Alligator mississippiensis: one gene and its partners. Each later gene encodes a partner of the first gene's protein in a complex. Links are inferred from orthologs where the notes say so. Each region holds a gene or a part of one and is shown in the gene's direction. Other genes may lie near its edges.

What was found.
Region 2: ALYREF (region 1) and THOC6 share a complex: the UniProt entries of both Homo sapiens proteins name them as parts of the transcription/export (TREX) complex. The link is inferred for Alligator mississippiensis from reciprocal best matches to the Homo sapiens genes ALYREF and THOC6.
Region 3: ALYREF (region 1) and CHTOP share a complex: the UniProt entries of both Homo sapiens proteins name them as parts of the transcription/export (TREX) complex. The link is inferred for Alligator mississippiensis from reciprocal best matches to the Homo sapiens genes ALYREF and CHTOP.
Region 4: ALYREF (region 1) and RBM8A share a complex: the UniProt entries of both Homo sapiens proteins name them as parts of the ALYREF/THOC4-EJC-RNA complex. The link is inferred for Alligator mississippiensis from reciprocal best matches to the Homo sapiens genes ALYREF and RBM8A.

The regions. Positions count from the first base shown.
Region 1 is NC_081831.1:482,859-489,851, forward strand, and holds the start of ALYREF (THO complex subunit 4), read left to right. Parts: upstream 1-3,992; 5' UTR 3,993-4,027; coding exon 4,028-4,139; intron 4,140-6,415; coding exon 6,416-6,837; intron 6,838-6,952; coding exon 6,953-6,993. Other genes in the region: NPB (neuropeptide B), read right to left, coding at 1,021-1,143, 1,212-1,499. UniProt on the Homo sapiens protein: Functions as an mRNA export adapter; component of the transcription/export (TREX) complex which is thought to couple mRNA transcription, processing and nuclear export, and specifically associates with spliced mRNA and not with unspliced pre-mRNA.
Region 2 is NC_081830.1:644,665-652,520, reverse strand, and holds the start of THOC6 (THO complex subunit 6 homolog), read left to right. Parts: upstream 1-4,854; 5' UTR 4,855-4,932; intron 4,933-5,136; 5' UTR 5,137-5,237; coding exon 5,238-5,252; intron 5,253-5,537; coding exon 5,538-5,653; intron 5,654-5,726; coding exon 5,727-5,791; intron 5,792-5,931; coding exon 5,932-6,035; intron 6,036-6,109; coding exon 6,110-6,147; intron 6,148-6,258; coding exon 6,259-6,307; intron 6,308-6,401; coding exon 6,402-6,473; intron 6,474-7,201; coding exon 7,202-7,304; intron 7,305-7,390; coding exon 7,391-7,440; intron 7,441-7,537; coding exon 7,538-7,600; intron 7,601-7,856. Other genes in the region: BICDL2 (BICD family-like cargo adapter 2), read left to right, coding at 561-722, 1,243-1,326, 1,459-1,589, 1,896-2,016, 2,177-2,311; HCFC1R1 (host cell factor C1 regulator 1), read right to left, coding at 2,934-3,039, 3,138-3,206, 4,073-4,204, 4,295-4,470. UniProt on the Homo sapiens protein: Component of the THO subcomplex of the TREX complex which is thought to couple mRNA transcription, processing and nuclear export, and which specifically associates with spliced mRNA and not with unspliced pre-mRNA.
Region 3 is NC_081838.1:13,226,107-13,233,421, reverse strand, and holds the start of CHTOP (chromatin target of PRMT1 protein), read left to right. Parts: upstream 1-4,307; 5' UTR 4,308-4,488; intron 4,489-4,682; exon of another isoform or gene 4,683-4,771; intron 4,772-5,385; 5' UTR 5,386-5,402; coding exon 5,403-5,467; intron 5,468-7,037; coding exon 7,038-7,191; intron 7,192-7,315. Other genes in the region: S100A1 (protein S100-A1), read left to right, coding at 1,530-1,619, 2,040-2,189, 2,344-2,487. UniProt on the Homo sapiens protein: Plays an important role in the ligand-dependent activation of estrogen receptor target genes. May play a role in the silencing of fetal globin genes.
Region 4 is NC_081838.1:17,854,041-17,861,416, forward strand, and holds the start of RBM8A (RNA-binding protein 8A), read left to right. Parts: upstream 1-4,364; 5' UTR 4,365-4,431; coding exon 4,432-4,498; intron 4,499-4,740; coding exon 4,741-4,800; intron 4,801-5,402; coding exon 5,403-5,480; intron 5,481-6,230; coding exon 6,231-6,367; intron 6,368-7,072; coding exon 7,073-7,209; intron 7,210-7,376.

The DNA.
Region 1 (6,993 bases):
CTCGGGGCGGCTGGCCGGCGGCGCGCTCGGGAGTCCTGCCCCTCCCCAGGCCCGGCCCCGAGGACCTCGCGCCAGCAGCCCGGGCCCCGCCGGCGGGTGCAGCAGGAGCGGGGCCAGCGGGCAGGACGGCCGGCGGGGGAGCCGCGGGCCCCGAGTTGCAGCCGCGCCTGCGGGTAAGTTCCCGGTGCTGCCTCTCCCGCCACGGCCCGGGCCCCTCGCCCCGCTTCGCCGGGCTCCCCCGGTGCGGCCCCGCCCAGCCGGCAGCGCGGCCCGACGGGGCGTCCCGCGGAGCGGGCCCAGGACGCCCGGAGCCGCCCGCCCTCCCGCCCAGCGGCCCGGGGCGGGGGCAGGGGCAGTGGCCCGCGGGTGCTGGCCGGGGCGGGGCGGCGGCCGCCTGCCCGGGCTCGGCTCCATCCCCGGCGCCGCCGGCACCCGGCACTAACGCGGGGCTGCGGCTGCGAGCTGGTCCCTGCCTCCCGCGCTGGGCCGCCTGGCGCTCCGGGGCCCGGGGGGGGACTCCCCGCTCCCGGCTCAGCCGGCGACCCGCGGCTCGGGGCCGCCCGTTGCCGCTCTGGGCTCTTCCGCCGCTGCCCGGTGCGGCCCGTCCGGGCTCCGCGTCCGTGCGGCAGCCGGGGGCACCGACCCCGAGCCGGTGGGCTCGGCCCGGGTCTCGGCGCGCCGCCTCCGCCCGGGTGGGCGCTGTCCGGGCCCGGGCGGCCGGCGGGGGAGCGCGCAGCGGCCGGGCTCTGCGGGACGACGGGTCTGGCGGGGCTCTGCCGCCGCTCACCGCACCCGGAGCGGGCACGGGGCTGGGGCCTCCCGGCGGAGCGCACCGGGGCCGCCGGCGGGGTTGGGGGGGCTTCCCCAGCTCCCCGTCCTGGCCCGGCCCGGCCCGGCCCGGCCCCCCTCCCAGCCCGCTCCCCGCCCGAGCGACGGCGCGAGCACACGGGAGGTTCAAGCGCGTTTATTGAGGTGCGGCGGGCGGCGGCGGCGGGCGGGGCGGGCGGTCCGGCGCGGGGCTCAGGCGCAGGCCGCGGGGTCCAGCGCCACGGTGACGTCCGCCTTGCAGTGCAGCGTGCCGGGGGCGCCGGGCAGCAGCTGGCAGCTCCGCAGCTCGGGGGCCACGTCCTTCACGCACAGCGCCTGCGGGGAGAGCCGCCGTGAGCGCGGAGCCGCCCGCCCGCCGCCGCCCGCCCCGTCCGGGCACTCACCATGGCGCGCAGCGCGGCGGGCGGGCGGGGCGCGGCGCCCGGCAGGTCGGGCAGCAGCAGCGCGGGGCCGCCCTCCGGCCCCGGCCCCGGCCCAGCCTCCGCCTCCGGCTCGGGCTCGGGCTCGGCGCGGCGGCTGTAGGGCGAGCGGCGGATGCCGGACAGCAGCCCCGAGGCGCGGCCCACGGAGTAGTAGTTTGGGCCGGCCGCCTGCTTGTACCACGCGCCGGCCGGGCCGGCCAGCAGCGCGGCCAGCGCCAGGCTCAGCGCCAGCGCCCGGGCTCCGCGCATCGTGCAGCGGCGGCAGCAGCGGCGGCTCCCGCCCCGTCTCGGCTCCTTATAGCGGGCGCGGGGGGCGGGCCCGCAGCCTCCGCCCCCCGCCCGCTCGGGAGGAGCTGGGGCGCCCGAGGGGACGGGGCAGCTCGAGCCGCTCCCGCCGCCCCCCGCCCGGCTCCGTGCCGGGGCTGCTGCCGGCTGCGGCGCCCGCCCCCGCGGGCAGCCCCGCTCCCGGCACGGGCGGAGCAGGGCCCGGACGGGACGGGGCACCTCCCGCCGGTTACCGGCCCGCGGAGGGGTGCACGGGCCTGGGCCGGACTTCGCGGGCTTTGATAGGGCGTCAGGGCACCTTCAAGCCTCCCCGAGGCGCTGGGTCCTGCTGCAGCCGGGGCTGGCCCGTGCCATTGCTCCTGCTGGGACCAACCCCGCAAGGTCCTGGCTAGAGGGGCTTGCAACGGGACTCCCCGCCCTACCAGCTGTGGTTTGCCTTCCTCTGCAGTCGGGGCACAGTCTCTGCCCGGGTCCCTGGAGCATCTATGAAGCCCCTTTGACAGCAGGACCATGGCTGCTGCACCCCCCTGCTTCCTCTGAGGGGGCTCAGGTGCGATGGTGTCAGGGCAGTTTAGGTGATCGTTTGCCTGGCCTGGTTTGGACAGGGCTGATCCTGCCTCAGGCAGGGGCCGGACTAGGCGCCAGGCTCTAGGATTCTCTGTAGCTGCATCCTGCTGCCTGCCCCCAGCGCCCCCTCCCAGCAAACCCAGGAAGAGCCCCACCCCTAGGGCTCATCACAGACCTGCTCCTTGGTTCACCTCCCCTCCCTTCGTCCCTGAAATGTCCTGTACTCACTGCTCCCAGGGGCTGGACCCATGGAAGAGCATCGCTCCCCTGGGCGACAGGACCCCTCGTCAGCCCCACAGCCCAGGACAGGGGTCCCTGCTGCGCTATTCTCCTGCCCCCCCAAGGCTCCATCATGCAGCTGGAGGTGGTCTGCCTGGCAGGGATAGCTGGGGCACTGCCAAGGATGAAGCAGGGAGCACAGGTGGTTCGCGGGACGTGGGCAGTCAGCTCAGCTAGCGTGGGGACGGGCATCACTGCCAAGGCAGGGCCACAGGTCGCATCCTGCCACCTGGCTGCACATCCAGGAAGAGTCCTTGTCAACAGCATGGACTCAGTCGCCCCCTCGGTGTCTGTGGGTGGGCAGCCGCCTTCACAAGAGCTCCCCTGGGCCCACAACAGTAAGGAGCAGCAAGAACCATGAATCACAGCCCAGGGTTTATTGAAACCAATCCACGTACCAACACGTCGCAGCTGGAAATTAGCCGATGCTGCTGCTGCTTGGAGGCTGCCTGAAAGGAGCAGGTCTCATCAGGCCGGCGGCCGAGACTCAGAGAGCGCAGGATGCTGCTGCTGAGGAGCGTGCCCGGCCTGCAGCCCCTGACCCTCCAGGTCATGGCAGCATTGGCGCTCTTGCTAACGCTCAGAGCCAACAGCCTCCCACGGCTGCTAACATGTGGGAGCAGCCTGCTTGGATGCAGAGTGACAAGCAGCACCAGCAAACCTTCAGCAGCTGAGAGGACGCAAGAGCATTTGATCAAGGGAACAGGACATGGGATGCCCACACATGGAGGCACAGGAGGAACAGCCTGAGGCAGCTACTAGAGCCCTCCCAGAGGCCAGAGAAAGGTGGAGTCAGGCCAGGCCTTAGAGGGCTTTTCAGGGCACAGGCAGGGGACAGGTTCAGCTAAACTCACTCGGCCTCCTGGCACGTTTGAACAAGATGTTTCTGTCTGGGTCCGGGCAGAGCTGAGCCAGCAGTAGCAGCGCCTAAAACGTCAGGCACAGGGGTGTCCATGTTCAGTGCCCAAACAAGGACTCACATATTCGTGGAGACACTGATGGCTGCCACGGGAAGGGCAATATGGGATCCACCTTGTCCTGCTGCCCTTTCACCCAGGTGAATGGGGGCTGCACAGACCCTGTAGGCACAAGGCACAGGGCAGAGGAAAAGCCGACCAGCTCGGGCTGCACGGAGGGAAGAGGTGCTGTGTGGATGCGACTGCCACGGTTGGGGTCCTCGCACGAACGTTGGGAACATGTTAGACATGTAGCCACATCCGCACTGCTCACGGCAGCCGGGAGCTGCTCTGCGTCTGCGGGAAGTCAGAGTGTGTTGGGGCCTGGCCTGCGCCTGCTTGGTGTCCCTGCGAGTGCCTGGCACACGCGCGATGCCACACCAACGCTTTGCTGCTCCAGGCCGCAGGGAGAGGGAACCCGGAGGCCGAACTGCAGCCCAGGGCGCCGTCACTCCTTGAACTTCCACTCCTGCCGGCACATGGGGCAGTGCTGCTGCACCTGCTGCGAGTTCAGCCACTTGAGGATGCAGTGCATGTGGAAGCAGTGCGAGCACTGGCCCCACACCAAGGGGCAGTCATCGCCGGGCACCTTACCTAGGAGGCAAGGACAGCGGTCAGCAGGGAGCGAGCGCTTGGGGGCAGGGGCCGGGGAGCGGCGACTCACAGTCCGGGCAGCAGCCGTTGAAGGCCATGCGGCAGATGCCGCAGTTCTCGTCATTGGCCACCCACAGCCAGGACGCCACCCCGTTCCAGCTCTTGATCTTCACCTTCATGGCGCCGTGCACGGCCGGCTCCCGGGCGCCTGGCAGGGGCGGCACGGGGTCAGGGCCCAGCTCAGGCACCGCCACCACGTGCTGCCCCCCGGTCACATCTGCCCCCCTCAACCACGTGCTGCCCCCCCCCCCGGACTTTATCTGCCCCCAACACCCCCCGCGACCATGTGCTGCCCCCCCTGTCATATCTGCCCCCTCAACACCCCCCGCGACCACGTGCTGCCCCCCCCCGTCACATCTGCCCCCCTCAACCATGTGCTGCCCCCCCCCCCGGGACTTTATCTGCCCCCCCACCACATGCTGCCCCCCCCGACTTTATCTGCCCCAACACCCCCTGCAACCACGTGCTGCCCCCCCATCACATCTGCCCCCCTCAACCACGTGCTGCCCCCCCCGGGACTTTATCTGCCCCCCCCCACCACATGCTGCCCCCCCCGACTTTATCTGCCCCAACACCCCCTGCAACCACGTGCTGCCCCCCCATCACATCTGCCCCCCTCAACCACGTGCTGCCCCCCGACTTTATCTGCCCCCCTCAACACCCCCCGTGACCACATGCTGCCTCCCCGTCACATCTGCCCCCAACACCCCCCGCGACCACGTGCTGCCCCCCCCGTCACATCTGCCCCCCTCAACCATGTGCTGCCCCCCCCCCGGGACTTTATCTGCCCCCCCCCCGTCACATCTGCCCCCCTCAACCACATGCTGCCCCCCCCCCGGACTTTATCTGCCCCCTCAACACCCCCCCGCAACCACGTGCTGCCCCCCCCATCACATCTGCCCCCCTCAACCACGTGCTGCCCCCCCCCCGGACTTTATCTGCCCCCCTCAACACCCCCGTGACCACATGCTGCCCCCCCCGTCACATCTGCCCCCTCAACACCCCCCGTGATCATGTGCTGCCCCCCCCCGTCACATCTGCCCCAACACCCCCCGCGACCACGTGCTGCCCCCCCCCCCCCCCGGTCACATCTGCCCCCTCAACACCCCCCGCGACCATGTGCTGCCCCCCCAGTCACATCTGCCCCCCAACACCCCCCGTGACCACATGCTGCCCCCCCCGTCACATCTGCCCCCAACACCCCCCGCGACCACGTGCTGCCCCCCCCCGTCACATCTGCCCCCCTCAACCATGTGCTGCCCCCCCCCCCCGGGACTTTATCTGCCCCCCCACCACATGCTGCCCCCCCCGACTTTATCTGCCCCAACACCCCCTGCAACCACGTGCTGCCCCCCCATCACATCTGCCCCCCTCAACCACGTGCTGCCCCCCCCGGGACTTTATCTGCCCCCCCCCCACCACATGCTGCCCCCCCCGACTTTATCTGCCCCAACACCCCCTGCAACCACGTGCTGCCCCCCCATCACATCTGCCCCCCTCAACCACGTGCTGCCCCCCGACTTTATCTGCCCCCCTCAACACCCCCCGTGACCACATGCTGCCCCCCCGTCACATCTGCCCCCAACACCCCCCGCGACCACGTGCTGCCCCCCCCGTCACATCTGCCCCCCTCAACCATGTGCTGCCCCCCCCCGGGACTTTATCTGCCCCCCCCCCCGTCACATCTGCCCCCCTCAACCACATGCTGCCCCCCCCCCCGGACTTTATCTGCCCCCCTCAACACCCCCGCGACCACATGCTGCCCCCCCGTCACATCTGCCCCCTCAACACCCCCGTGATCATGTGCTGCCCCCCCCCGTCACATCTGCCCCCTCAACACCCCCCCGCGACCACGTGCTGCCCCCCCCCCCCCCCGGTCACATCTGCCCCCTCAACACCCCCCGCGACCATGTGCTGCCCCCCCAGTCACATCTGCCCCCCAACACCCCCCGTGACCACATGCTGCCCCCCCGTCACATCTGCCCCCAACACCCCCCGCGACCACGTGCTGCCCCCCCCCCCCGTCACATCTGCCCCCCTCAACCATGTGCTGCCCCCCCTCCGGGACTTTATCTGCCCCCCCCCGTCACATCTGCCCCCCTCAACCACATGCTGCCCCCCCCCCCCCCCGGACTTTATCTGCCCCCTCAACACCCCCCCGCAACCACGTGCTGCCCCCATCACATCTGCCCCCCTCAACCACGTGCTGCCCCCCCCCCGGACTTTATCTGCCCCCCTCAACACCCCCGCGACCACATGCTGCCCCCCCCGTCACATCTGCCCCCTCAACACCCCCCGCGACCATGTGCTGCCCCCCCCGGTCACATCTGCCCCCTCAACACCCCCCGCGACCACGTGCTGCCCCCCCCCGTGGTCACATCTGCCCCCCACAGCCCCCCCTGGGGCTACACCTGCCCCCAGTACCCGCGGGGCGGAGGAGACGGGCGGTGGCGGCCCCGCCCCGCTCACGTGCTCTCCCCCGCGCGCGCACCGTCCCCGGAAGTGGCGGCCCCATAAAGCCCCGCGCGGGCGGCCTTCGCCCTCGCCCCGCCCCTTCCGCTTCCGGCGTGGGCGCAGCGCGGCCGGAAGTGCAGGCCCGGAGCGGAGCCGCCATCATGGCCGACAAGATGGACATGTCCCTGGACGACATCATCAAGCTGAACCGCAGCCAGCGCGGGGCCGGGCGCGCCGGCGGCCGCGGGGGCCGGGGCCGGGGCGGCGCGGCCCGCGGGGGGGGCCCCGGCCGGGGCGGCCTGGGGGCCGGGCGGGCCGGCGGCGGCCCCCTGCGGAACCGGCCGCTCATGGCCCGCGGCGGCGGCAGGAACCGGCCCGCGCCCTACAGCCGGGTACGCGGGGGCGGGGCGGGGGGCGGCCGGGCCGCGGGGGCCGCCTGGCTGGCCGGGCCGGGCGGTGCTCGGGTCCCCGCGGCCGCGGGCGCTGAGCCCGCCTGTCCCCTTGCAGCCCAAGCAGCTCCCCGAGAAGTGGCAGCACGACCTGTTCGA
Region 2 (7,856 bases), on another chromosome or scaffold:
GGACCTAAAACCAACCAAACCCAAGGGCTTGTTTGGCCTTGAGGAACCTAGAACCCAACTGTCTTGGTCTTGGGAGCCACCAAAGAACCTGATAGACCTAGAACTCACCCACCCTGGGTTTGTTGGGTCTTGAGGAACCTAGAACCCAACCCCTCTGATCTTGGTAGCAACCAAAGGCCACTAGGCCTGGATTGACCTAGAACCCACCCTGTGGTTGTGAAACTTAGAACCCAATGCCCTTGATCTGGGTAGCAGCCAAAGGGCATCAGCCTTCATGGACCTAGAACATATGCCTTATGGGGGTTAAACAGAGATTATCTGGGAAACCATTAGCCTTCAGGAACCTAGAACCCACCTGTCCTGAGGTTGAACACAGGTGACTTGATGTCTGTTGGGACTGGAGAACCTAGAACCCACTCCCTTTTGTCTCGGTAGCCATCAAAAAGTCATTATGCCTTGACCTACAACCCACCCATTCTGGGGTGGAATACAGGTTACTTGGGGTCTGGTGCCCTGAAGGAACCTAGAACCCACCCCCTCTACCTTGACCCTCCCCATAGGCTGAATCATTGAGGGCAGAGGCGGAGGAGCTGCGTGGGGCAAACCGACGGCTCCGGCGCCGAATCCGGGCTGTCTCCGAGGAGCTGCAGTTCCAGTCAGCCGATAATGGCGTCTCCCTGAAGGCCGAGCTGGAGGGGACCCAGGGCCCCGAGCATCCCAAGGTGCAGGGACAAGGCCAAGGGTGGGGTTTGGGACCTAGAACCTGACCACCATTGGGTCTTTTAGCCTTGTGCGACCCAGAACCTTCTGCCCATCGGGTTTTTGGCCAGGAAAGACCTAACATCCTCTCACCATTGGCTCTTTAGGTGTTGATGGAACCCATTTGCCATTGGGCCTTTAGGCCTTGGTGAACCTAGAACCCCCCCAAATTGGGGTTTCTGAGTCTTGAAGAGCCTAGAACCCGTCAAGGATTGAGTTTTCTAAGCTTTGAGGGACCTAGAACCCACCCACCGCTGGGTCCTTTAGCCTCAAGGGACCTAGAACACTCCCACCATTGGGCCTTTAGGCTTTGAGGGACCTAGAACCCACCTACCCAGAGTCACCTGGCCTTGATGTACCTAGAACCCACCCAGCCAACCTTGTCCTTTGGCTCAGCCAATGTTGGGAGGGTTTTGGCCTCCATCAGGCCAATCCCACGAGGCCGCCAGGTTCTAGCCCCGCCCCCTCGCTGTACCCCCACAGGCTCCGGCACGGGACAGGTCTGAGGCGCTGCCCCAGGATGCACTGGAGGAGAAGGAAGTGGAGATCGAGCGGCTCCAAGATGAGGTGGGGGGGGTGTGGGGAAGGTAGGCGGTGTCATGGACATCTGGGTGGGGGGAACAGGGCCAGGAGGGGGAGGGTAAGACTGGCCCTGGCCCCACCCCCGCCCCTGGCTGACTCCACCTCCTCCCGTCCCAGCTGGCTGTGCAGCAGGGGGTGCTGCAGGCGGTACGGGAGGAGCTGGGGGCACAGCGGCGCCTCCTGCAGGAGAGGGACGGGGATGCGGCACTGAGGCAGGCACTGGCCCAACGCAACACTGCCATCGACAGGTCTGGCCCCGCCCCCCACAGACACCTGGTTCTCTGGGGTGGGACTAGTGGTTTGGGAGCCAGACAGCTGGGTTTTCCGTGGTGGGAGCAGGGGGGCTGGGAGCCTGGACACGTGGGTTCTCTGCAGTGCACGTAGGAGAACTAGGGGGTTTGGGAGCCTGGACACCCAGGTTCTTTAGGGTGGGGAGTGCGAGCAGGGGGGGCTGGGAGGCCAGATGCCTGGGTTCTCTGGGAAATGGGGGGGGGGACTAGGGGATTTAGGAGCCCAGACACCTGTGTTCCCCACCCTCTTCGCCTCCCCCACAGGCAGGGGGTGCTGGCGGAGACGCTGGAGCGGGTGACGCGGGAGCGCGATGCCCTGAGCCGCCAGGTCCTGGCTGCCGCCCACCAGAAGTGGGCGCTGTCCCGGGAGCTGGAGGCCTGGCAGGTAAATCGTGCGTGTCCCGCGGGCCTTTCCTGGGGGTCTCAGGGGCACCCGGAGGCCTGGGCTACCTCCCCAGGCAGGAGGGGGGCACCCTTAGGTGGGGCATGGGGAAGGGGGGGCTTGGATGCCTGGGTCCCCACCCACTGTGGCCCCTCCCCCCCAGGACGACATGCAGTTTGTGATTCACCGGCAGCTCCAGGCCCAGTGGCAGCAGGAGGCCGGGGCCCCGCCCCCTGTGCGCCGCGGCAACAGCGCCCCCCATGGCGGCCACTTCCTGTCCTTCTTCCGTCGCAGCTGACAGGCCAGGGAGCCGATAGGAGCCGGGAGCTGGGGCGCTGAAGGTTCACTTCGGCCTAACCCGTGGGCTCACTGCCCTCACTCTAGGCCTGGCTTTGGCCTGCCAGTGCCTCTGGGTCTCTTTCCCATACCAATGTTCTAGGTCCACCATGGGTTCTAGGTCACTCAATGCCCACTCTAGGCCTGGCTTTGGCTTCAGTGCCTGTACGCTAGGCCTGGGTTTGGCCTACCACACTCTCCCTCCCGTAAGCCTCTGGGTCGCATCTCTCTCTTGGTGGCTCACTATGATGTTCTAGGTGTTTCTACCATGGGTTCTAGGTCACTCAAGGCTCACTCTATACTTGGCTTTGGCCTATGTCTCACCTACAAGCCCCTCCCTCTGCTCCTGGGCCGGACGCCTGGGTTCCCTGGGAGGGGAGTGGGGCCTGGGTTCCCTCCCGTGTACATGCTCTGTGCCTCCGTTTCCCTCAATTCAATTAAAACCATCTTTATTCCCAATTTGCGCCCATTTCTCCTCCCCACCCCCCACCCCCAAGGCCTCCGATTGGCTAACATAATTTCCCCCATGCCATGCCCGATGCTGTACATACCCCCCCACCTCCACAGCACTGTCTGGAGGAAGCTCACAGCGCTGTAGCTTTGGGGGTCAAAGCCCCGGCCTGGAGCAGGGCCCAGATGCCGCGGGGGTCCTGGCTGCTGGGGGGGCTCCATAGCACCGCCTCTGTGGTCCTGTGGGGGGGGGGGAGCAGGGCAGCAGATTAGGAGGTTCTGGGGCAGTAAGGGGGGAGAGGGGTAATTAAACCCTCCAGCTGGAGGTAGGTACTCACAGGGCCATGGGGAACTCCCCGTCTAGGATCACAGTCTCCTCTTCCTCCTCCAGGGTGGCATCCTGGGGCCTGGAGTGGGGGGGGAGATGCGGCTGAGTCTGGTGTGTCATGGCCAAGCGTAATGAACAGAGACCTCTTCTCCCAGCCCCGGTATGCGAGATGCAGCTGAGTCTGGGGCGTGATGGCCAAGTGGAATGAATGGGGATCTAGCTCCCCCTCTTCCTCTACAGGATGCAGCTGAGTCTGGGGTGTAACAGCCCAGGAGAACAAACAGAGATCTGCCCTCACTCTAGCTATAGGCTGAGTCGGGCATAACCGCCACGAGGAACAACTAGAGAACTCTTTTCCTAACCCCTCTCCCCCCACTACGTGAGATGCAGCTGCAGCTGGGGTGTGACAGCCAAGTGGAACGAATGGGGATCGAGCTTCCCCTCCTCTTCCTCTTTAGGATGCAAATAAGTCTGGGGTGTAATGGCCCAGGGGAACAAACAGAGATCTCCCCTCACCCAATGGAAATGGGATGCAACTCAGTCTGGGGTGTAACAGCCAAGTGGACAGATAGGAATCTACCACCCCCTCCCCTTTTTGTATAGGATGTGGCTGAGTCTGGGGTGGCATGGCCCAGGGGAACGAATAAAGATCTTCCTTCCCTCACCCTATGTAAATGAGGTGCAGTTGAGTCTGGCGTGAAGCGGCCAAATGGAACAGAGAACTCTTTCCCTGCCCCCCCCTCCCCCCATGACATGCAGCTGAGTCTGGAGACTAACAGCCCAGGTGAATGGAGATCTCCCTTCTCCCTACGTATATGGGATGCGGCTGTGCCTGGGGTGTGACAGCCGAGCGGAACAAAGGGGCATCTCTGTCCTGCCCCGTGCCCCCTTCCCCCCGCCCTGTGATGCAGCTGAGTCTGGGGCAACACCTGGGGGGCCTCTCACCCACGCGGCAGGGGGCGGGGCCAGCGGGACGGGAAGCCGTTGCTGCCGTAGGCGTGGTCGTGGTCCAGGCTGAGGGTGTTGAAGCGAGCGGCCATCTTGTCCTCCGACAGGAAGTGCTTCCGGGTTGGCTCCCTGTGGTGACAAAGGCGGGAGGGCAGGTGAAGGCTCCCAGCATGCTTCGCTCCCGCCTTCCCACAGTGCCTTGCTCCCCCCCATACTCACGGCTCCTGCTTCTCGAGGCGCCGCTTGCAGGCCAGGGCAGCAGGGCGGGGCGTGGGTCGGCGGGGCAGTGCCGCGGCGGAGAAGCTCACCACCACTGGGGCCCGCCCCGCCCAGGGCATGCGGGCGGGGACTTCCTGGCTCCAGCAGCGGGGTTGGGGCAGGGCCGGGGGGTCCATCGGGGGGGCATTACCTGATTGGAGGAGGGAAAAGAGAGTCAGGCCAAGGAACTCCCATCATGCATTGTGGTTGGGGCGCCTCTGGAGCTGAATCATGCCAACTCCTGACTTCCCATGATGCCCTGGGGCCACTCAGGCCAAGCCCAGGCGCTCCCATGAACCCCCGGGGCTGAGCCACACCAACTGGAAGCTTCCCATGATGCCCTGGGGCAGTTCAGACCAAGCCTAAGCCCTCCCATGATCCTCTGGCTGGAGAGAGAATGAAGTGCAGGGGTGCTGAGGACAAAAGGGGTGTGGCCAAGTGACAAGGGGCAGGGCCTACCGCAGAGCACAGAGCGAGCATGCGCAGAACAGTCGGGCAGCAGGTGAAGTTCCGTTCTGCGCGTGCGCAGAGGCGAAGGCAGGTGGTGGAAAAGGAGGGGGAACCACTCCCGCCGGGCTCATGCGCAGAGCCCCGGGACCGTGAGCCTGCTCGCGGGGGGGGATGACAGTTGGGCTCGCGGGAAGTGGCGGGGAGGCGGGGCGCATGCGCACTGGGCACTCGCGGGTCTTATTTCGTGCTGTCGGGGCCTGAAGCCGGGAGGGGTGAGGTGGGGCCTTACCGGGTTCCGTTCCCCACGCTGCGCCTCCAGGGTCCCCCCCTTCTTCCCTTCCTTCTGACGTCAGGGTCGCGCGGCCTGCTGGGAGTAGGCGAAGGGGGAGGGGACCCAATCTGGCGCCGGCGTCGCGCGGATAACGTCATAGAGGCGCGACGCGGCGGCACGCTTATGGCGCCCCAGGAGGTGAGCGACAAAGAGCGTGGGGGCGCCCGGGGCGGCTCCCAGCATGCACCGCGCGGGTCCTGCCAAGCCCTGGGAGGTGTGAACCCAGCATGCACCCTCCCAGCATGCTTTGCTCCCTGTCCTGCCAACCCTGGGGTCTCCCAGCATGCCTTGTGCCCCCCCCATGCCAACCTGAGGCTTTCCCAGCCTCCCTTGCTCCGCACCTGGCCAGCCCGGGCATCTCCCAGCATGCCTAGCTCCCCTCCTCCCTCCCCCGCCTTCCCATCATGCCGTGCTGCCCCCCAGATGGACGTCCAGCGGGCCTTGGAGCTGCTCCACATGAGCGTCTTCTCCCAGAGCGTCTCGCCCTGCGGGAAGTACCTGGCAGCCGGCAACAGCTACGGGGAGATCGGCATCTTCAGGTACCCCAACCTGCCCCCAGCCCGCCCCGCGGGCACGCCCCCCAGCTCCCCTAACTGCCCTGTGCCCCCCCAGCCTGTCGGCGGCGCTGAGCGCGGAGGCCAAAGAGGAGAGCAAGAAGCCGGTGGTGTGTTTCACAGGTGGGTGTGAGGGGAGCGGCTCCCCACAATGCCCCGGGGCTGCTCACGCCAACCCGGCTCCTCCCCACAATGCCCCGGGGCTGCTTGTGCCAACCTGGGCCTTCCCACAATGCCCTGGGCCTGCCCCTCCCGCCCCGCAGCCCACGATGGTCCCGTCTACGCGCTGACCTCCACGGACCGGCAGCTCCTCAGCGCCAGCGACGGGGAACTCAAGGCCTGGAACTGGGCGGAGATCGTTAAGAAGGTAAGCCCCGCCCCTAGCCCCGCCCCTGATGCCCGGGTCCCCTGCGCTTCATCCCCCTCCACGTGTCCCCCCAGGGCTGCAAGGAAGCATGGAGCCGCCGGCCCCCTTATAGGTAAGCCCCACCCCAAGTGGGAGCGGCTTCACATTGGCCAGTGGGAAGAGAGCAAGAGGGCATGGCCTCCCCATGTGGCCACACCCCTTCTTTCCCCACATTTGCTTCCAGGAGTAGCCTGGAGGTGCCTGAAATCAACAGCCTGCAGTTGAACCTCAAGGTGAGTGTGGCCCTGGGCATTGTGGGATAGCCAGGGGGAGGGGCTAGCCTCCAAGCCCCGCCCCCTCCTGCCTGTGTCTCCTCTTCTCCAACAGGATAACAGCCTTCTGCTGGCTGGGGGCGACTGCACCGTGCACGCCATGGACCTGGAGACAGGGGTCTTCACCGTGAGTGGGGGCAGGGCTCTCGGCCATCCGTTCATCCCTCCGTCCATCCCCACAGACCTCCGTCCATCGCTAGGCCTTTCCCTCTTTCTGTGCGCGTGTCTACTGTTGGACTTCTTTGTTCATATCACCATACTTCTCCGTCCATCCATCCTTTCGTCTGTCACTAGAGTCCTGCATCTCCAGACTCATCCATCCCGCACTACACCCTCCCCATTCCATCTACTTGCTTGCCACCCGGCTTCATCCATCCGCCCATCACTGGCCTCCTCCATCTGTTCGCTGTTCGTCCATCCAGTCTGTCACTAGATCTCTCTATTCATTCCTGTCTCCATCCGCTCACCACTAGACTTTTCCATCCATTTCTTCGTGCGTTCATCGCTGGATTTCTCCGTCTGTCCTTCCATCCCTCACTAGACCCTCTCCATCTGTCCACCCATCCGCATATCACCAGACTTCTTCATCCCTCTTTCCTTCTTTCCACCCATCGCTAATCTTGTCTGTTTGTCCGTTCTTCATCTCTCCCCGTATACGTTCGCCTCTACATTTATCTGTCGCTAGATCTCCCCATCCATCCATCCATAGGCTCTCCCATCTGTTTCTTCATCTATCTGTCATTACATTTCTCCACCAATCCATCTGTAACTAGACTCATCCATCCACCCCTAGACCCACCTATCCATCCATCCCTAGATCCCGTCCCGCTCACCCGCTCTCCCCCACCTTCCCAGCATGCCCTGCGGGGCCACACCGACTACATCCACTGCCTGGCACTGAGGGACCAGTTCCACGAGTGCCTCTCGGGCAGCGAGGACGGGTCTGTCCGTCACTGGGGTAAGTCCCGCCCCTTTCCCCACCCCTGCCCCGCCTTTGCTGAGACCCTGCAGGGCTCGTGACACCCACTCCCCACCACCCCGCAGATCTCCGCACCGGGGGGCAGGTACAAGCCATCGAGGTGCACAAGTATGAGGTGAGAACCCAGACATCCGGGCTGCCAGCACCCCTGCTGGGGAACCCAGGTGTCCAGGCTCTGACCTGGCCTTCTCTGCCTCTTCCCCCACCCCCAGGAGTGCAGCCGGCCCCAGTATGGGAAGTGGATCCGTTGCCTGGCGACAGACTCCGATTGGATGGTGAGAGGGCAGGGGAGACCTTTGGAGCGAGGGTATCCCATAGTGCCTTGGGTTTAGCTGTGGTGGCCAAAGCAGGGTATCCCAGAATGCTTTGCTTGCAAGCATGGCTGCCTACAGTGATATACCCTAACAAGGTTGGGCAAGGTACCCCATAACGTCCTAGGACCCAGGCATGGCTGACTGCGGGAATATTCCACAATGCCTTGGGTCCCCATCATGGCTGATCACTGGAATATCCCACAGTGTCTTGCTACCA
Region 3 (7,315 bases), on another chromosome or scaffold:
GGCTGGGCAAGCTGCAGACTCGGGGCCACATCCTGCCTGGCGTTGAAGCCATCATGAGGCCTCCACTTGCACCCCCTGCCCTCTCTCAGTGGTGCCCCACCCCGCACCCGGCTGCTCCCAGGGGTGCCCCAGGGGCCTCTGCAGCCAGGATTAGCGCTGGTGACTCATTGTCAGGGCCCGGGGCCTAGCAGCTGCCCTTGGTGTGATAGTCACAAGGACAGGCCCCGGGCAGGCAGACAGGAAGCCTTGCGTCACCCGATTCTGCTGGGGCTGGACCCCCGGGGACCCGGCGCTGAGGTCCAGCGAGGCTCAGCACAGCCCCGGGAGCAGAAATGGCAGCTGCCTCTGGGGTGGGGCAGGGCACATTGTACAGTGGCCGGGCAGCGGAAGTGAGGCCAGATGCCGCCCGCGACATTGGAACAAGCACCCCGATGAGCACCTGAATCGGCATCTGGGACAACAGTGGAGCCACGCCCGGGCTCTTGCGCAAAGCTCTGGAATCGAGACCAGGATCGGGGCTGGGAGGGGGTACCGGGGCACAGCCAGGCAGGGCCCCCCAGCCCGCTCCCAGCTCCAGGCCCTCCTCTAGCTCCCTGCAGCCGGGGGCCATCAGTGCCCCCTGCCCAGCCCCCGGCCCAGGGGTCCCACCCGGTGCCCCCAGCCAAGCACAGCGGGGCGGGGAGCGGGGCCGAGAGGAGCCAGCGGGACCAGCTGATCCAGCAGCACAATGCGGTGCGGCTGGCAGCCCCGCCATGCCCCCCTGCCGTAACCGGAGCTGCACCACGCTGGCTTTATCAGCCCGGGCCAGCCTGGGAATCCAGTTTCCCGGCTCCGGCGTTACCGCAGCAACCTTTCACCGAGCGATTCTTCAGCAGGACAAGGGGCCTTTCTGTGGCCGCGCCGCAACAGGCCTGGCGGCCAGGGGGGGCTCGGATGCGTCACCCGATAGGGCCCCCCTGGCCACCTCCCTTTGTCCAGCGGGAGACACTCGATCGCACGAGCCTTATCAGCTCGCCGGGTGCATTACAGCCCATCCGGCTGGGTCTGGCACGGCTCAGAGTGCCCTGAGTGTGCCCAGCCCTCAGTCTGGTGCCGGCTGGGACATGGTCCTGGGGTCTGCACCCCATCCCAGCATCGAGGGGACAGTGGTGGGCATGGGGGTCCTGGCCTGGCACCAGCAGTGACTCCCGTACCCTAGCCACGGCATGGTGCAGAGTCCACACCCCACAAGGCCACAGTGCTGCCGAGCCGGGGGGGGTTTCCACGCATGGAGATGCCAGTGACCCCCGTCCAGTAGAGCTGGGGGTGCAGAGGCATCTCCGGGGGTGAGAGACAAGGGCATGTGCATGTGCACAGGGTACAAGCATGCAGGCAGCAAGCACCGTGTGCTTCACCAGCCCCAACGGGGACTAACGGGCCCCCCAGGGCATTTATGTCCCTTTAAATCAGGTGATCGCAGCCAGCAGTGCCAGCCAGCCCGTCTCACCGCGGGTATCAGATCCTCCCGCAGGGAAGGGGGGCTCGGGCTGATGTACTTAAAGTCACTGACCAGCCACATTGCTCATTCGCGGCTGTCGGAGCAGGTGGCTGTGCAGGCAGCCCAGGTGCAGGGAGCCCAGGTGAGCCCAGGGGCCAGGGTGCAGCCCAGGGAGAGCCCAGGTGAGGGCCCAGCCAGAGCTGATGGGCAGTGGGGAGCAGGGGTATGGGGTACAGGGGCCAGGGGACGCTTCCTCAGGGCCCCTGGGATGAGACAGAGCAGCAAGGAGCTCAGACCTGGCTGCTGCACTCTCCCTGGGGGGCCCTGATCCTGCCCGCGGCCACAGCTGCATGCACCCCAGTGCAAAGCACCCTGAGTCTCAGGCACCCAGCTGCCCCCCAGGGCAGAATGAGGCCCCTGGTTACCCCAAGGCAAGGAGGGAAGGAGCTGCTTGGTGGCCTGGAGGGGACCCATGGCCACAGCCGCAGCACGAGGGGGGGAGCGTAGCGCCCCTGGGAGACCCACAAAGTCTGCCCCCTTAACCCTTCGGGCGCCTCTCCAGGCCAGCAGGATGGAGTCGCAGCTGGAAAGCGCCATGATGACACTGATCACCATCTTCCACAAGTACTCGGGCAAGGAGGGCGACAAGTACAAGCTGAGCAAGAAGGAGCTGAAGGACCTGCTGCAGGGCGAGCTCAGCAGCTTCCTGGAGGTGGGGGCTGCTCCCAGGGCAGCCAGGAGCTCGCGGGGCAGAGCAGGGGGGACGGGGGAGTCAGGGACAAGACCTGGGGTTCCCCTGCCATGGGCTGCAGGGCACGGGGGTGGGTGGGCATCCCTAACCCGGCCTGGGGGTGTCCCTGCCACAGGTGCAGAAGGACACGAGTGCCATGGACAAGATCATGCAGGACCTGGATGAGGACAGGGATGGCGAGGTGGATTTCCAGGAGTACGTGGTGCTGGTGGCTGCCCTCACCGTGGCCTGCAACACTTTCTTCTGGGATGACTCTTGAGCCCAGGGCCAGGCCCCAGAGCCCCGTGGGAGTCGCACTCGCTGCCCCATCCCCACAGCCCCCAGCTTCCCGGCTCAGAGCCAGCCTAGACCCTGCTACGCAGAGCCGTGCATTAAAGCCTCCGACCAGCCACTGCGTCACGTCCCTTCCCGTGCGCCAGGGAGGGGGCACGGGGACCCCGGGGAGGGAGCAGGGGCTGGAGGTGCCATGTATGGTCATGCTGCACCACAGTGGGCACCTGCCTGGGCTGCACCAATCCTGGGGGTCAGCCCAGGGCCATCCTCATCCACAGGAAAAACCGTTTGATTGAATGTGAGATACTGCAAGGGTGGGAGCATGGGCACCTGACGCCTAGCCGACTGCAGTCTCAGGCCGGGAGCAGGTGCCGCACCCCAGCGCTGGCTGGAAGAACTCGTTCCTATTTCCCGTCCCAGTGGGAAGGAGCCAGCGGGGAATAAACAGCCTCCTCCTGGTTGGGGCTGAGCGGCACCGCACTCATGTCGGGAGTGCCCTCTGCTGGGCTGGGCTCAGGCATTGGCACCGCGCAGCAACCTGCACCACGGGCTGGGAGGAGGCCAAAGCGCCCGGCAGCGCACAGAGGCGAAGTCTTTGGCAACATCTTTTATTAGAGCAACTAAAGAGTTGCAAAAAAAGGTGTTGTTTGGACGCACACATCCTTCCCAGGCAAACAAAAGACATTTAAAAGGGTGAGAGATGAAAGAGGGTCACCAATCCCCAGGGCCAGGCTGGGGCAGAGCAGAGCTGATGGGAGCAGGGCTGGGCCCAGGGCAGGTCTGAGGTGAGTGGGGAGAGCTGGGGCCAGACCCTTCCCTGTCCCTCACTGCCCCCCGCCTGCCCCCTCCCAGAGGAGGGAATTGCCCCAGCAGGGAGGAGAGCATGGGCTTGGGGGCAGCTGCCTGGGCCACAGCCAGGCTAGGGCCCAATGCCGGGGTCTCCCCCAGGTAGACGGACCTCACACCACGGAGCCACAGCAGGCCCTAGCCCCGCAACCCCGCCCCAGGCCCCGCCCCTTGCCTGAGACCCCTCCAATTTTCATAGCCCCGCCCATTCCCGGGCCCGCATATCTCCGTTTAGCCCCGCCCATTCCCCCTACACACCCCTTCCATTCTCCTGGCCCCACCCGTTTCCCCCTACGCCCGCCCATTCCCTACCCCCACCTGTTTTCAAAGAAGATAACACCGCCCCGCCCCTTCCTCTGGCCCCGCCCATTCCTCGGGCGCGCCCGTTTCTCTTTAGTCCCGCCCATTCCCCTAGACACCCCTCCCGTTCTCCTGGCCCGACCTGTTTCCTTTAGCCCCGCCCATTCCTCAGAGACCTCTCCCGTTCCCCTGGCCCCGCCCACTTTCCTTTAGCCCCGCCTATTCCCACCTCCCTCTGCACCCCCCCAGACGTCACATGGTAGGGGAGGAAGGAAGGCGGTCACGTGTGTCAGGGGCTCCCCGCCAGTATGTCGTGTGTTCTAGGACAGTGTCACGTGGCGGGGGAAGCTGTCTCGTGCCTCAGGGGGCTTCCCGCGAGGGCACGTCACGTGCTGTGGGGATCGCGTGTGTACAACCTACACCCCTACACAAAACTAGGAATTCTTGCCATAGGGATAGCGTCACGTTCTGCCCGGGCGGCGCCTGCGCAGTGCGGCCCGTGAGGCTCCCGCCAGGGAGTGTCACGTGTCGCGGCGCTCCGGCGGCACCTGCGCACTCCAGCTTCCGAGGCTCCCGCCGGGGAGCATCACGTGGTGCCTGGACGGCGCCTGCGCGTTGTGGCTTCCGGCCGCCATTTTGCCCGGCTCGACGCGGTGAGCGGGCGGGGGAGGGGCAGTGAGCGTGAGGCGGTGGCGGCCATTTTACCTCGGGCGCCGGAGCGGGCGGAGGGGAGCCGCCCGCAAATACTCACCCACTCCGCCCTGCTCAGCCCAGCCCAGCCCAGCCCAGCCCCGGCTTCCTGCCCCAGCGCGGCCCGGAGGCCTGACCACCGGCTCCTTCGGTGAGAGCGGCGGGGCGCCACGCGGGAGGGCTCAGGAGGCCGCCATTGGCCTGCGGCGCGGGCTGTCGGGGGCGGCGGGGCGCCGTGTCCAGCTCTGGAGAAGCCGGGCTGGGCCGGGCCGCGCGCCCGTTCCCGCCATGGCGGGCTGGGCCCGAGCGCCTGGAGGGGGAGGGGTTGGCTCCGCGGGAAGCCGAGCCTGCAGATTATCGCCGACCGCAGCCGGCTTCCCTGCCCGGGGCCGGGGCCAGATGGCGTCTTCGTGAGGCCTGAACTCGTCCAAGCGGTAAATGCTGTGATCCCCGTCGGGGCAGCCGGGCGGGTTTAGGAGCCTCCTGGCAGGTGCCGTCTGCCTCAGACCTGGCGGACTCAGCAATCCCTGAGCTGCGTGCGTCTTCCCGACGTGCCGGTGTGGGAGTTGACCTCGGGTCAGGCCGCAGCCGCCTTAGGAGACAGATCGTCTCCGAGTAGGGGAAATGCGGCACCGAGCGCGCTGAAACGGGGCGCGTTGGGCTCCTCCGGCCCTGTGAAGATGGAGGAGCGGTGCCTGGACGCAGCCGTCCATCCAGGAACCGCCGCATGCCTGTGGGGGGTTCGGTGGTTAGTCAGGCGCGTGGGCACGATCGTGGCTGGTGCTGAAGCGTGCCGCTAATCGGCTGCATCGTGAGTCTCTCCATCCGTTACGGGGAGCAAGGCCGCGTGTTGAGAGGAGGCGACGCGCGTTTCTAGCATTGCGAAGCGCGAGTCGTTCGGGTGGTTTTTGTCACGTCCTCGTGCCAGCCCTTCTTGGGCTCGTGGCTGTCTCCGCAAAAGGGGCTGTGGCCGTGCGGCGAGGTATGTAGCGAAACAAGCGCGTGGTCTTGCGTCTTGCTGCTAAATCTGCCCCTCGTTGCTTTCCAGATTCTCTCACCCCGAAGATGGCTGCGCAGTCGGCGCCAAAGGTTGTGCTAAAGAGCACCACCAAGATGTCTCTGAACGAGCGGTGAGGAAGCCAACAGCAACTTCAGCTCATAAGAAATTTGTACTTAATTTGTCACTGTGTCCAGTGTCAAAAACCAGCGTGGTTTCTGCCCTGTTTTAACCTAACTAAAAACAAGTAATGGCTATGCACCTCTGTCTTAAGTCTCGACACATGTGGTACACGAGGTTAAAAGGGCAGTTATTTCGGAGGCTTGTGTCAGTAACTGTTAATAATTTGAGACATAACTATGGTGGGCTGTGTTGTACAAAGAAACCTCGCACACTCCCTTTTTCTTCCACATGTTTTTACATTATATAGTTGACGCTGCAGCATGGTAGCATGTTACCGGAGCTGCAGGAGGCTTGCTGCTTTGTCCGAGGTGGACACGCGTGTGGTGTCACCTGTAAGAGGCATGCAGCAGGCCACAAAACCAGCCCAAAGGCCCTTTAACAATGTTCTTGGACCTTGTAAGAGGCAAACGCTTCGCTTCATCTCCATCTCTCTCATTTCTTGGCTCTGCTTTCTTATTTCCTCTGTTCAATACTCTGCTGCTCTCTCTCTCTCTCTCTCTGTCTGCCATGAAGCTTTCGCCAATATAATATAATATGATGAACTAACAGCGAAGCTCCCAATCGCATTTCACTTCCTTACTAAATCACTCTTGGATTAAGTGTTAATATCATTAAGCCAAGGAGAAATGAAGTCATTTTTTATGCAGCTCCTGTTCTAGCAAGCACTGCGTGAGACGTAATCTGGGCCAGTGCTTGGGGCTGGCTAGCCAGAAAGTTGGCGCCATGCCTGCCTGCCTGTGGTGGCTGGGCTAGTCCATATCCATAATTCTGTAAAGTTTTAACTTCATCATCTTGTAGAGCTCTCTGAACACCATAGAAACCTGACCTCATACTGATAAGGAAGCTTACTTCCTGGCAGTATGTACCCTCCTGTATAATTTTTAAAGGTGGAAGATCCTTAATATGCCAGAGAATATCCTGGGGTCGGACTCAATGATCTATTGAGGTCCCTTCCGACCCTAACATCTATGAATCCTGAATGCAAAAGCAATCCTACTATAAACTAATATATTCAGATAGCGGCATCTGGCATCCTTAAAAGCGTTGTCCCCAAGGTTTGCTTTTCTGGTGTCAAGGTGACAGCACCAGCTCTACTTACGAGAGACGTCCAGTTAAACAAGTCAGTTTTCTCCCCTTCTTCCTCCCTCCTCCCCCAAACCAGTTGTCTTGGCTTTGCAGTCAGACTTTAGTGGGCTTTGCTGTTTCTTTGTAATGTCTTCTCCCATCTTTCATGGTCATCACTGCTTGTTGCTTGTTTTTTTTCATACCTTCTTCCACCTTTAAAAGCAGTAACTTTATCACTTTTAAATTAATGTGCTGCACTTTATCCATATCTAAGTTTCCGATTCTTGCACGTTTATGGAAAACAAGGATACGTAACTCGCATATGACATGATCTGAGTGTACCACTTCTTACTTAAGGTCATGGGATCTGGCGATCCAGTCTTGAGAGCCATGAAATGCCAATAATTGTTTTTATTAAAACTTTATTTAAACACCCATTTTGTTCGACCTTGAAGCTTTACTAATATGCTGAAGAACAAACAGCCGATGCCGGTGAATATTCGGGCAACCATGCAGCAGCAGCAGCAGCTAGCCAGTGCCAGAAACAGAAGACTGGCCCAGCAGATGGAGAATAGACCTTCTGTCCAAGCTGCCTTGAAACTTAAACAGGTGAGAGAGGGGGTCATATTCCACTGCAGACAGTTGGTGGTACCTGTCAGCAGCTGGTGACTTTTCAGGACGTGATGGATTTCAAAAGGTGTTCCTGAAAATGAGAACTGAAAATTTTGGGGGG
Region 4 (7,376 bases), on another chromosome or scaffold:
TAGAAAGCTGATGCCATACGGAGCTGCACAGGATTATATTCTGAGTAGTAACCACTTCCTGGTGCCATGTGAAAATGAAGTCAGGCCATCTTTTGAAATAAATACACTCGAACAGTCAGTTTTCTGTGCTCAAAGGCCAAGTTGCGTTAATGAGACAGCTCTGTGGTAGAAGCAGCATATAAAAATGCAACAAACAGTAGCTTGTTTATGGAGCAATGCATGTGCATTCTCCTCTGTGCAGTGACTCTTCCTCGGGCAAGTAAGATATCATTAGTTTTGTATGGGCTACTGAACTCTCATGGCAGTTGTGTGAGTAGGCTTTAAATAGAGCCTCCTCAACAGCCTGTGACTCCCTCTTCTGAGACTCAAATGCTAGTTCAGTCTTTGTTTAGCAAGGGCTTGAATCAGGCAGACTCTTAGCATCTGCCTGTGCCAGCACTCCCAGCTGGGGGAAGATATCAGACCACACTACATGCCCTTTTTCTCCTTGCAAAAATACGATTCCCTGGGTAGGACCAGTTCAGCTTCATTATAAATGAGCATCTGACACTTTGTTCCTCTTGTTTTAATTAAAACAGATCTTGGAACCTCATGAGTCTCAAGGGATGGATCAGCAGCCAGGAGATCCCCACGGCTCCAGTGCTGTTAATAGCCTAGCTCTCGGCATCCAAAGTCCCTTCCAATTTTCCCAGCATAGAGTCTGAATCAAAAACCAGAGCAAGATAAATTGCCTTTCACGCACTGCCACCACATCTTCCATTGTATGTCCAAGTTCAGTACAACACGTGCATTTTGTATGTATAATTTTTATACAATAAAACACTAGATTTTTTGGGTAGTTTGTCTTTTTTCTTCCTTTCCTAATGAGAGATGCAGGACTGATGATCTGTTCAGTGTGCTGTTGGCTCTGATGTGCTGCTATCCCTCGTAACAAAACGTACGAGTGTCTGTTGCTTTCACAAAAACCCCTGGATAGCTGGTGTCAAAATTGGCACCTCCCTGCTTGAAATATAGGTGTGCCATGGCGGGTATGAAAAGCTGCTTAGTTTCTGGTCTGTTACTCCGGGGTTTAGGCAGGCTGGCCTGAACTGAACCTGTCTGTGCTGATGGCATGCCTTTTCTTTGCTAACCCCTGCAGGAGCCTTCCTGTACCTGAAAAGGGAACTGAAATGGAGAAACCACCTGTGCTGATGGAGAAAACACCTGCCCATGTGGTGCTACCCTCACTCAGCCCTAAGCTGCTTCTCTGCTGCTGTTTATGGCCTCTCCTGGGGGAACTAGCTGTTTGATGCATCACAAACCTGAGAACAATGCCTCCCTCCACCCCTTCTCTCCCTAAGAATTACCACAGTTGCCTGCAAATTAGTCCCTGCTGGTCCCAGCATCTGGTTATATCAGACAGGATTTATTGACCCATCTTTTGCAGCATAGCCCTGCTGATGTTGCACAAATTCTGCCTTGCTGCCTTAACTAATGTGGGGGGGAGGCAAGGGTGAGGATCAGATCTTGCACTGTTCCTCCCAATACTCCTTTTAAAAGGCTTTTCAGCATGGGAAGGCTAATAACAGTATTGCCTTTGGGTGAATGTGCTGTCTCTCCTTAAACTGTTATGAAAAGCGGAGCTACCAGCTCTTGGAGGTGGGGAAGGCAACAGTTGCTTTGTAGCATGCTGACTGGCAGGTCTTTAAGGAAAGAAATAGGTCTCTTCCCTCTTCGTTGCGGAAGGGGAGATGAAGACGTCGCGTACTGTACACAGTTTGAATGGACAAGAACAGGAACAGCTGCACCGGCCGGATGTTTGTAGAACCAAATTTCCCATTAGCGGAAGCCCGTTATAATCCTCTTCAGCTGAGCACGGAGCTAGCTGAAAATAACAGTTTGGTCCTGCTGTTCACGCTTGCTCCTGCACTGGTAGCTCCCATCGGACCATCTCCCAGATTGTAGGAAAGGTGGGGAAGCTGAGGCACAGAAATAAAGGAATAATCTTGTCAACTGAGGCAGAAGCAGAGCACTCGTGAGAGATTCTGCTGCCTTGAATTTGGGAAACCAGCAGAGACTCCTGAGAGGGGAAGAGTGAAATTCTGGCCTGACTTGGAAGGAATAAGGATGCAGTGGTGGAAAAGGAGATGGCTGTGCTCATGGGTACCGGTGACTGAGTACAGCTGTAGCAGCATCTGCTTATAAAGGGGGCTGGAAGGCATTATGAAGAGCCAGATTGGGGGGTGGGGGGGGTGTAAGCTGTTTTCTTTTCAGGTCATACCTGCTCTGCACTTTGCCTCATGTTTCACACTCTAGCTGTAACTCCTTCGCTCCAAGGCCTGCGGGAAGGACATGTGCAGAAGACGCTATACAGAATAAAATGGTGTCATTCTTTTTTTTCTTCTTTTTCGGGGGTGGGCAGGACGAAATGCCTATTTCACGTGCCTGCCTGCTGACTAGAAGAACATGAAGAGCTGCTCCAAGTGAGAGACACAGTTTCCACCCTTTTCAAAAAATAAAATGAGAAGGAACATAAAGTTTTGTTCTTCCACCTAGCATGACTTCTTTTAAAATCTTGAAGTGGGGGGGGAATGGCACTGGGCTGTTTCACTAGCAAACACAGCATCTTGCGCACGCAAAGCAGTTGCTGTCCAAAACCACTTGGCATCCATAAGCTCCTTGAGAAATTATTGCCGCTTGGCAGTTCCCCCCGCATATTTTATAGCTACGACGAGATCTCCATGCTTCTCCATTTGGAAAAGAGCTTAAAAAAAACCCAACCCATTCTGACTAAGGCTAAAGTAACATACTGGATGCCATAGTATAGATGGCGATTTCTACCCCCAGCAAATAGGGGTGAGGATGTTGTCTTTGGATGAGTGTTGGCTGGCTCAGGTGAAATGGGTTTGTGGGGTCTCACTAAACAGGTGCCCCTACAACGAAACCGGTAGGCAAGGAGGAAGGAACAACCTTCCTACTTGATCTAGCTGGGGATGGAGCTGCTTGGAGCAGGAGGTTGGATTAGATGTGACCTCCTGAGGTCTAACCCCCATTTTCTACGATCCGACAAGTAGTGGTGATCCCTGTCCAGGAAGACTGCTTGTGTAGGGGGATCATCCAGGACCAGCCTGTTCAAGGGAAGCTTTCCTTGATAGCACCACGACTGCCAACCCTCCTCGCTGGACGGGGAGAAGCTGCCGGAGTTATGTTAAGGATCCTCTCTTCGATCCCGGTCCAACCGTGCTGTTTTCTGGGTGTCGGGAGGGGGTGGCAACTTCGTGCTGCCCTCCTCAATGTGGGTTTTTGTCCATCCCCAAGCCCCGGCTCCTGGAGCCTGGATTACTTGATTCATCTTCCTTCCCTTAGACCAGTGCTTCTCCACCTGGCACCTGTTCTCGTCCGGGCACCTCGCTACGCCCATTGCACTCGCTCAGCGTTGTGCGAGGAGCGAGCTTTGCAACCATCGTCTCTGCCAGCTGAGATGCAGACCTGCCGAACCCGCCTGGTTTCACGAAACATCGCTTGGAGAGGCCGCAGAGATCTCCTGCCACCTTTGGGGGGAAAGGAGTGAGATCTCTGTGCTGCGACGGTGGAAAAGTCACAGGGCTGAGTCCCGTCTTGCACAATTGTCTGCACTGACTGTCACGTCTGCCTCCCGCGGGGGCATTGGGGAACCGGGCGGCTCACCAGCGCTTATCCTCTCCTCTCCCCTCGTTAGACGCCAAGCCCCCTCAGAAAGTGCCGTCTCTGCTTTCACTTGTTTTTTCAACTACAGAGAAACCCTCAAGTGAATCCAAGATTGGGGGACAGACCCAGGCCTCCTATTGGAGATCTCCAGCTGTGTCCTAGGACGCGCCTAACTGTGCGAACGGTGATGTGGCGCCCCCAGCCCGGCTGAGACTCGCCGCCTTGGGGCACCACTAGAACGCTGGGCTCCCTTTGCTCAGGGGACTCTGGGGGCACCAAGGGGCTCCCCTGAGGTGGTGCTTTCTTAAAGGAGCCTCATGTTTAGGGCCAACCCCAGTAGGGGGGGCAGCTTGTTGTCTAATAGGGGCTAATCCCCCCCATTGGAGGGTGCAGGCCAGGTCCTGAGGGGTGCAGCCAGAGCCTGGCACCCTGCCGTGCCTGTGGCTGGGCTGTCTCAGGCAGGGAGGGGAACCCACCACTAAGGGAGACAAAAAGGCCTAAACTGGGCCCTGAGTGGTTGCTATGGAGACCCCAAGATGGCGCCCGCCGCCAGCCTGACGCCCTTCTCCAAATGGCGGCGCTCGCCACCTAGCAGCGTCGTTGCGTCATCACGCTTCTCCCCTGCCTCATTCCCTTCTCAAGATGGAGGCCCCTAGCAGGGGTTTCCTGTCCATAGGGTGAGGACACTTCCGCCCTGCTTCCCGGCATGCCTTGCAGCACCGGGGCAACTTCTGGTCGGCAGCGGTGGCGGCGGAGCGCGGCAAGATGGCGGACGTGTTGGATCTGCACGAGGCGGGCGGCGAGGACTTCGCCATGGACGAGGATGGTGACGGTACCGCGGGGTGACCCGGATGTCCCCCCCCCCCCTCTGGCCGGTCCCCCCCGGTTCCGGGTCCCATCGGGCCTCCCCCGCCCCCCGGCCTGGGGCTGGCCTAGTCCCGGTTCTGGGTCCCGCTTCAAGCCTTTTCCCGCCGGTTCTGGCCCCGCCCCGCCCCGCCCCGCCCGGTCTCCTGCCCGCGGGGCTCGGTTTGGTTCTCTCCGGCCCCCGCGCTGACCGCCCGGTCTTGCCCGCAGAAAGCATCCACAAGCTGAAGGAGAAGGCCAAGAAGCGCAAAGGCAGAGGCTTCGGCTCAGGTAAGGACGTGGCTGCAACCCCCGCGGCTCTGTCCGTCTGCGCGCGGGGATCCCAGTGCTCCCAGAGCCTCCAGTGCAGCCTCCAGACTGGTGTCCGCTTGTTGCTGGCAGGGCAGAGCGGGGGAGGGGCCGGGGGTGTTGCGATGCCTGGGGCCTTTCAGCTGTGAGCAGATCCCTCTGTCTCCCGCGTCCGGCTGTCCAGACCCTTCCCTACCTGCAGCAAACGTGCGCAGGGTACTCGGTTGTCTGCCCCGCGGCCCTTGGTCCTGCTTGGAGCAGGGGGTTTCCCGGTCGTTAGGGGCTGGAAGGGACCTTACAGATCGGGTCCAGCCCCCCTGCACGTGGGCAGCGAAGACCGCTGGGATCAGATGACCTCAGGGTTGGACTAGATGTGATCTCCTGAGGTCTCTTCCCGCCCTTATTTTCTATGATCCTATGAATACATGTTTGTCTGCATCACTACTGTTACAGGCTCTTTGGGGTAGGGTGTCTGAAAACCGGTGTCTACAAGCTCGGGTGTCTGGTGGTGGGGTGGTCGCGCAGGAAACCGTCACTAGTTGTCTGAAATGATCCACGTTTTGCTTTTCTCCCCCTGTGCCCAGAGGAAGGCTCCAGGGCCCGAGTGCGTGAGGACTATGACAGCGTGGAGCAGGACGGGGACGAGCCGGGGCCTCAGAGATGTGAGTACAGCTGGGGATTTGTTCTGGGGTCTTTGGTGGGTGAAGTGTCACACGAGGTTGCTTTAAGGAAGGGCGGAGCCAAGTCTTTCATTGAAGTGGGGTCCGGTGGGTAAAATGCTGGATAGGGACCAAGGGACTGCTGGGGTTATTTTACCCCAGCAGTCTTTTCTGCCCAGAGCAGGGGGGCTAGACCTGATGATCTCACAAGGTCCCTTTCAGCGCTGAACTTCTGTGAATCTGAGATGTGGGTTTTATTCGCAGTGCTGCCACTGGCTGGTTCTGTGACCCTAGTGTCTCAGCTTCCTCCCTTGTAAAGTTGTGAAAGATAAGAAGCATTCTCTGAGAGCCAGGTATCGCTGCTGTCACCATTGATACAACCACACACAGAGCAACTTGTCTGTGCTCGTGGGGTGTTGGGATTGTTCTAGGTTAGGATTCAGGTTCATTGCAGGGGTCTGGGGGGCAGAAACTTTTCCTGCTGCTCTGCAGCCATCCTCATTAAGGAGTAAATGAAGAACTGCTGTTGCCAGGGGCATCGAGCACCTGCATTCACTACCCCTCCATTCCTCCTCCCATAGCTCCACTCCAGAGTCTTCAGGCCAATAGGAGATTACAAGCTACCCAGGCTGAGATGTGGTGGGAGTAGGGATGTCCTTCCTTGGTGTGGCTGTGAAGCTGTGCACGTGCAAGTTCACTAGGGCTCTCAGACCAGGCATCTGGGTAATGAGCGCTGCTTCCCTTTGCCCGCAGCGGTGGAGGGCTGGATTCTCTTCGTCACGGGAGTCCACGAGGAAGCCACAGAAGAGGACATTCACGACAAATTTGCTGAGTATGGCGAGATCAAGAACATCCACTTGAACCTGGACAGGCGGACGGGCTACCTGAAGGTAGGGGGCTGGTAGGGAGAGGGCTGGCTGGGGTCTCTAGACAGGTGTGGTCACGTCTTTGCCCTGCCACAGACTCTGTATCTGTGCCACATAGTTTAATCTCTGTGCTTCAGGTTCTTGCCTGTATGATGTGGGGGCGGTGGGCCTTTGAGGTGCACAGCTTCCTCGGACACGGAGGCCAAAGCTGCACTTAAACGGGCAGCTGCCCCTTAATGTTTCATACAAATGATCTGGGCAGGGTGAGGAGACTGTGTGTGAGCACAGGGATGCCGGGGTTCTGATCTCAGCCTGAGGTGCGGTGGGTGCTGCTGGTAACAGCAAGGGACTCCTGGCTTCTTTCATGGGATCCCTGTGAGATCCCTATGGTTTCACAGCTGAATCCCAGATGGGATCATATCACAGAGAAGTGCTAGGGAGGCTTCATACTAAGAAAGAGCCTTGAAGAGGGGTTGGGTACTAATATGGATCCCTGTCCCCCACCTCTCTGGGAAGCTCCTGGTTCAAGTGAGCAGTTCAGTTCAGGGCAATAGCTGGAAGGGCAGGGCAGGGCAGCAGCCTTGCCTTTCAGGCTTGTATTCCTGACACTGGTGAACAAGTGGAGAGGGGTTGTGGGAATTGGAAGCCCAGGGGTCTACTGCTGGGAGCCAAGGTGAGCGTGGAGTGAGGGTGACTGGGTGCTGATGCCACTGTCCTTGCCTCCTGCAGGGATACACACTTGTTGAGTATGAGACCTACAAGGAGGCTCAGGCGGCCATGGAAGGGCTGAACGGGCAGGAGCTGATGGGGCAGCCCATTAGCGTGGACTGGTGCTTTGTTCGGGGACCACCCAAAGGGAAGAGAAGGTGAGAAGGGGCCACATCCTGGCAGGGGATCAAGTTGCCCAGCAGGAGCCAAATGGGTCCAGGATTGTCTCTGGAGCAGGGAGCACACACTCAATGGGATAGATCAGGTCTCTGCCTCTCTCGCTTGGACCTGAGTCCGGGCACAGTTCGTCTGTGTCCTTGGGGCT